2 linked regions of the Xenopus tropicalis genome follow. The protein of the gene in region 2 interacts with the protein of the main gene of each other region in a pairwise test. Links are inferred from orthologs where the notes say so. Each region holds a gene or a part of one and is shown on either strand. Other genes may lie near its edges.

What was found.
Region 1: the proteins of med4 (region 2) and tnfaip8 interact in binary tests that used the Homo sapiens proteins (3 or more experiments, as listed by UniProt). The two-hybrid records come from large-scale screens. The link is inferred for Xenopus tropicalis from reciprocal best matches to the Homo sapiens genes MED4 and TNFAIP8.

The regions. Positions count from the first base shown.
Region 1 is NC_030677.2:170,621,447-170,625,201, reverse strand, and holds the start of tnfaip8 (tumor necrosis factor alpha-induced protein 8), read left to right. Parts: upstream 1-1,092; 5' UTR 1,093-1,246; coding exon 1,247-1,247; exon of another isoform or gene 1,248-1,257; intron 1,258-3,755. UniProt on the Homo sapiens protein: Acts as a negative mediator of apoptosis and may play a role in tumor progression.
Region 2 is NC_030678.2:134,874,629-134,878,283, forward strand, and holds part of med4 (mediator of RNA polymerase II transcription subunit 4), read right to left. Parts: intron 3,160-3,655; coding exon 3,093-3,159; intron 1,364-3,092; coding exon 1,193-1,363; intron 1-1,192. UniProt on the Homo sapiens protein: Component of the Mediator complex, a coactivator involved in the regulated transcription of nearly all RNA polymerase II-dependent genes.

The DNA.
Region 1 (3,755 bases), on a different chromosome or scaffold from region 2:
CACATGCACGCACACACATGCACGCACACACACATGCTTGTCTGAAGGGTGGGCGAGAAGGCCACTGACTGCTATGAACAATTTTGAAAGCCTGGATCAATACTGTTAAAACAAGGGCTGCTGAATTTCTGGGCTGACACAGTACAGGTGGCCATACACTGTAACATCCACCTACAGGTGAGCGATATCGGGCTAAAACAAACAAATTAAAATGGCGGGTATAGGCGCCCTCGGTTTGGGGACTGCATCAACGAGCCAATGCAGAGTTTGATCCGACGGAAAAATCAAACCTGCCCAATTGAGATCCGGCATAGATCTTGATCGGCTGAAATCGGCCCCTGTATGGCCTTGTTGCACATACAAAACACAGCATCTCTAGCCATATTCATTTTTAGGCTTTAGTTCTCCTTTAAAGGCAAACTGTAGGTTACTGAGGCAGATGCTGCTAACCAGTGATTGCTGCTATTAATAAACCAAAGGGGAACTGATATGGGTATGTACGTATGTATGTATGTATATCTTTATTTATAAAGCGCTACTTATGTACGCAGCGCTGTACAGTAGAATACATTAATACAAACAGCGGGTTAAAGATAATGGATAAATACAAAGTATAACAATAAATACAAATAAATACAAGGTACAGTTGCAATAAGAGTCAGAAACAAGATGAAGGAGGTCCCTGCCCCGTAGAGCTTACAATCTATATGGGAGGGGTAACTAACAGACACAAATGGGTACGTGCTTATTTGGGCATTTATGCCTAATGTATTTGTGGAGCATATTATAACAACAAAATGAAAGGTGTAATTGGGCAGAAGCTGGGCACGGAAGGTCACATGATGTTAGGCACCCTGCATACCTTCCCGTACCTGCAGCGCATTTGGGGAAAGAGAGACCAGAGGCGCGCCAGGCTCCCCCCCGGGACACGCCCCCTATTGGCTGACTGCTGCAGACACGCTCTTGCACGCCGAGCTATGTGTTGCCTCCACAAAGTATGCGCCACGCCCACACCCGCCCACCTTCCTGCCGGCCCCGCCCCTCCCCGAGTACCAAGTCGCTGTGTGTATGAGTTCGGCTCTGTCCGTCGCCTCTTCACTTACCGGCTGTGTGCCTCCTGTATGTGCAGAGCCCGAACGCTGCCTGAGGGCGGTGACTGGAAGTTGCCTCCTTTATTCCGACTCATTTGCCATCGCTAGAGGTGCCTGTGCCGTGCGCTTATCCCGCTCCGAGCGCCACTGAGCCAAGTAAGTGAAGGTGTGAGAGTTGCTCTCAGTGCTGCTCCCCCTGCGCTCCCAGCGGCTGCTCCGCCTCACCCTTCCGCGCCCAGCAGCCCGCTCTGTCCTGGGGCGCCTGTTAGTATGAGCTGTTAGTATGTCCTGGGGCGCCTGTTAGTATGCGCTGTTAGTGTGCGCTGGGGCGCCTGTTAGTATGCGCTGTTAGTATGCGCTGGGGCTCTCCCTTGCCCTCAGCGTGTAGCTGCGATTTCTGCCTATTGCTGGCAGGTGTTTGTGCTGTTAGGGAACATGGGCTTTGCTCCTGTCACATATAGAGACCCGTAGTCCCTGTATGTACCTCACTCCTATTAGGGGTAAGTCAGGAAAATGAAGAGAGTTTGCCCCCCTCAGGCCGGGGCTAGACCTGCAGCTTTCCAGTAGCAGTTAATCGCAGCAGGAACTATTTGCACTGGTGCTTGGTGGGCAAATGTCATCAGGGATTCTGCCAGCCTTGTTACCTGCCCAGTGCCTGGCAGCTGACAGATTGCACATACAGGGGGTAGGTACCCTCCTGCCAAGGCATCATGGATATAAGGCAGATGGCTACTTACTGGCTACATGCTGTTGCACTGAGCAGCATATTTGCTTTTATGGCCCCAGGCACAGGAATTGATGAGACCTGTCTGCAACACGATGCAAAGAGTAGCCACAAACTTGTGATTGGGCTGTAAGTGTCAGAATGGGGGTAACAGCAGTGCGCAAACATACTGGGCTCCTGTAGGGTGTTACCCTGCTAAATGTATTATGAGAGTAGTACTAGTCAGTGAACTAGAGATCTATAACTTTACAACCTACCTGCAGCTGCTAGTGAACTGTATATCCCACTACCCCTTCACAGTTTTTACTAGGTACTTTACAATTGGCAAACTTCTTCAGTCCAACCTGCATGCATCCAGGTCCTGTTAGATTGTCTTTTGTAGCACAGCCTTGATCATTCCTGAGTGGGGATTGCAGTTCAACAACAACATTGTGGGCACAAGTGTATTTAGGGAACAGAGTCTGTAGAATGATAATGCATAAAGGCATGCCCTGGCTAGAATTTTGTGCACATAGTATCACAATGTGAGCTAAGTCATGTTTAATTGTATTGATAGAAAGCAGCTTCTGAAATGGTTGTTAGATTCATTGTTACAATCTCACTGCTCTATTGTGGGAATGCACTTTGTTAGTATGTTTATTTTATCAATCAACAACCTGTTCTGCAGGAATGATTGTGGCTTTACTGAATAGTGCGGCACCTTATGCTTCCCTCTCTGTTCCACTGTATGAGCACAACCTGCCAGCAAATACAATGAATAGTAATTAGTAATTAAGAATAATGAATATATCTTTGCATGTGCTGCATTCTGTTTATAGTGTTCTTAATATAGTTAATTGCCCCATATTTATTGCTGTATTTAGAACGGCTATACTGTATGTCATTTGTTTTTTTATCTTCCCTGTACCTTTAGTAAAGCACAGAAGTAGAGGTAGGGAAGGCAGGGATATATATATCTATATCTATCTATATATATATCTCAATATTTTTAGCTGAAGTCTTCTTTATTTTTCCTAGTTTAGAAAGTAAAGTGTGAAAGCATAACTTACTGTACACAACTTTTTAGGAGTATTGGGGTTTATACATATTAGTATACATTGCTTGGTTTTCTAGAACCTTCTCCTAGGACTGATATGCCAGAGCCATTTTTGACCAGTTGTGGTATTGCTGCATTGGTGTGTTTTGTGGTGGTGCAACTGGAGCCAGTGGTATAGCTTGCCCCCTCTGTGGTATAGCTTGCCCCCTGAGGATGCAGGGTCTGCTCCCCCACTGACTGGATGCCATTAGACTCCAGATTAAAATGCAGGGCTGTGGAGTCGGAGTCGAGGTGTCGGAGGCAATTTTGGGTACCTGGAGTCGGAGTCGGCAAAAAATGAACCGACTCCGACTCCTACTAAATTTAAATGGGAATAAAAAAAAAAATAAAGCAAGTTTAAATGTCCCAATTCACAAACAGTCATAATTAATTACTTCTCCGCTATAAGAATAAAGCCCAATGCACACAGTGCATAAACGAACACGTTGAGTGACCATGAAGCATGCTTTTCATTGACTGTATGAATGTATAAAATACATTAGCATATTAAAAACAGAAGAGTCGGAGTCGGAAGTATCAGAAACTGAGGAGTCGGAGAATTTATCTACCGACTCCACAGCCCTGTTAAAATGTCATGTTGCTGATTCCAACCCCCCAAAAAAATTAAAGATTCAAGACTTTTTTTTTAATCTGACCCCTGTTGTATTGTTTGATAGCATATATTTATTAAGCTCCAACATATTTGGCAGCACTGCACAATAAATGGGTGTATACACTGAACATACAGATTACATGCAAAAACAACTACTGACAGCCCATGCAAGAGATAAAGAGAGCCCTGCCCAAAAGAACTTGCAGTTGTGTCAATCAACCCCTGCCTGAGAGATGGTGCTGAAATTGCCGG
Region 2 (3,655 bases):
CAAAGAGAGGAGGTTAAAATTCCCACCAAGTGCTGAAGGTTGTAGTTCAACAACATCTGAAAGCCCTGTGTTTGACATCCACTAATATAGATGACCCCAACATTCAAAAAGTGATAACATTAGTAAAAGAAGCTTTATTATCCAAATACATGTATTTTTATTCTAAAGAAAGCTAACTTAGTGTTCCTTAGTCACAGCAATTAGTTTAGATAAGCTCCAAACAAAAACTGGTTTATATTGTCTGCATTCCTGACACTGACTTCTGAAACAATATAGCAGAAGCCAACTGAAGCCTGGACCTAAAAAATAAATGACTCTTGATACATTTTAAGAATCAGACCCAAAGAACAGCAAGAAATAAACAAATACAACATTCACCTGCAATAAATATTTGTAAAACCTTTATTTAATTAATTTATATTTTAATTGCTTAAATTACATTTCCTTTTGTTTTGTAAAAACAGTTTTTGGGTAGAGAATCCCTCTGCTAGCTCCAATTAAACAGTGGTTTTAATGCCATGTTGTTATGATAAGTGGTGGAACACGTGATTACTTTTCAGCTTAGGACCTGAACTAAATTTAGTTTTTAAAATGAGAACGTATATACTTAACTACCCCTTTACTGACACCTTGTGGAAACGTGCAGTTAGATTAGTACTGTATTTTCCCCAGATTGCATGGCATTATTTACCAATTTACCTTAGTAAGGAGATTTTTATCCTTGAAAATGCACTTGTCATTCTGATAATATGACACCATATTCCAGGATGGAAAGAGGCATAAATGAATTATTTAAATAAGAAAAAATAACACAGAATCAAAATTTAAATTGTTGCCGTGGTATCTCAAAGTGAGTAGAGAACTCTCTTGCATTGTGGATTACTGGATTGTCTGCTGTGGAGTTATTAATAAAAGTGTTGTGTCAGTCCCCTAATAGCTGTTGCATTGCTAATACATAGGAAAAAGTACTTTTGGTTCAAGACAACCCATTTCCTGAAGCAAAGTATAGCAACACTGGGGACCAAGATACCTAAAAAAACAATACAATAATTATTACTCAGTTAGGAATAAGATTATTACTCAGTTAGGAATAAGCACGGAGGTAAAAATTTCTACTCAGAATCAACTCATGCTTGTTCCATATAAGCAGACGACAAAAAGCTGCCAGCAGTTGTTTATTTCTAGAGCTTACCAATATGTGTTCGGCTTCCTTCAGCTGTTTCTGTAGTTGCTGGATATCACTGTCCCTCTTCTCCACCTCTTTTTCTAAAACCTGCATTTCTTGGTGAATCTTCCCCTGGCTTAATGCCACTTTCATTAGTTCTTGGAATTCCCCATCCTTCTGAATTAGTAACTCTAAAATCTGACAAAAACAGACAGAATTGGGTACTGTGATAAGTTACCTGAGAGAGATAGGGTAATGCAAGGATGAACAACTAACTACTAAAAAATGCATTTGCCTGTTATGTAATACACATCGTAAACAATGTATTTTACCAAATAAATGGGGGAATGTAATAAACAGTCTCAAGTCTGCATTTTGTCTAGTAACCCAGAGCAACCAGTCAACAGATAGCAGATATTTACTGGTCAGTGGTATGAAAGCATCTGATTGGTTGCAGTTGGTTACTAGGTGTGGGCAAACTTTAGACCTTTTATTGCATTACCTCTTAAGTTGCTAATTTGTAACTTCATATATTTTATTTATAATATAATTATATATTATTATAATTTTCATTTATAACATTGCTTCTGATAATACTTGCTATCTACCAGGTCAGTAAATTTTATTTCCATGCTGTGTATCTACTAAAATCATGAACAGAATCACAGAATGTAACTACTCCGTAAGACTGCCTTGTCATACACAACAGAGCATGTCTCAGTACATACTTTCTGCTGCTGCTCCTCCTCTATCTAGACTTCACACACTGTACCACAGAAGGCACTCTAATCCAGCAGTTTGCAGTGCCTTACCTGAATTTCCTACCAACCCTTCTATTCTTGCACTCGTTCACAGACCAGTACAGCAGAGTTCTGCATTTAGTACTATCCAGGAGGAATGTACCCCCCGACAGCATGCTCAGTTACCTGCCCTCTGAACCTAGCTATATTTCAGCAGAGGATTTGTGTGAGGAATACTATTAACTAATGTATTTTAAAACAGCATTGGTACCCTTGATAGTATTCCTTTAAATAAGGGATGCCCACATAACAGCTATTCCTCCTTCATGGCAAATATCTGCATTGTGGGCACTAAGGAAGGGGGGGGGGAGATTGGGGGGTTTAACACATTATACAGCAGGCTTATTTCAGTGGGGCATGCAGTAAATAGTAAGCCATAATACAAATAAAAGTTACATTTGCTGGGCACTGTTGCCATTTAAAAGGAGAGCAAAAAAGCCATTACCATAGCTCACTGCACAGAGGGCAGACAGAGTCAAATGCAACCTATTGGTGTCTATCAAATACTGCTGGGGTTGTTATATCCAACTAGGATGAGGAGGCACAGTATCTTTCCTCTTGCCACATAGATGGATTATTGCCACATTTTGAATTGAAAAGAAAGAATACCTATAGATTTAGATGAAAGTATAAGCTATTTAGATAGTAAGCTCTTGTGAGCAGGGCTGTCAAATCCTATTTCATTCGATAACTTGTTTGTTAAATTATTATAAGACCCCCCCCCCCATTTGTTATAATGTTTAATAATAGAATTATGTTATCATTGCACTTTATAAATGAATAATTATTATCATGATGATGCTTAATTTTATGGTATATATACAACTAAAAATAGGGAGAGAAGTCGACAGGCTCAAATGATTATTTTTACTGATAAAAAAGGAATTACAACTTTTCAAATATAAATCATATTTATCATATACAGTTAGATCATATTTCATCAATATGTAAACACTGCAAATTGTCCTTTATCTAGTCATATCCCTTTGACTACATCAAGGCTAGCAATATGTCAATTGCATATAAACGATGTAACATATGTAAAATTAATAGTAATGCAATCAACTGTTTTGTAGTTATATTCATTCTATAATCTGTAAATCAAAACTGCATATCTACAGACTCACTTGGTTCTCTTCACCAGGTTGGCTGAGCTTCTGGTTCCTTGAAAGTGCAAGCATTTCAATAAGTTCTCTGGAACAATATCAACAGGTTTCACATCAGTAGATGCTTTAAGTTAATTCTGAAGTATTCTGCTAAAGATAAGTGGGTGTTAACTGAAACCAGATATACACACCTGATTGCATAGACTGAAAGAAAACCATGACCGTCAACCCCTTTCTTACTTTGTTCCACTGTGTAGTGATGGATTCTGGTAATTGACGTCCTCCTGCTTTCCAAAGAATCTGTGCACCACTCACAATGGAAAGTAGGGACTTTCTAGTCCCAGAATGCTTCACTGCACAATGGAACTAAGTAAGGTAGGGGTTGCATTATGATGCGAGACTGGATTTTCTAACCTGGCCGACCGATAGCTGGCCAATTTCAGGCCAGCTATCGGTCGGCCAGCCCACTCGTTTCTGCCCCTACACGGGCAGATAAGCTGCCGAGTCGGTCCAAGGGACCGATATCGGCAGCTTCTATCGGCCCGTGTATGGGGGCCTTAAGTGGGGTTTGGAAATGATTTTAT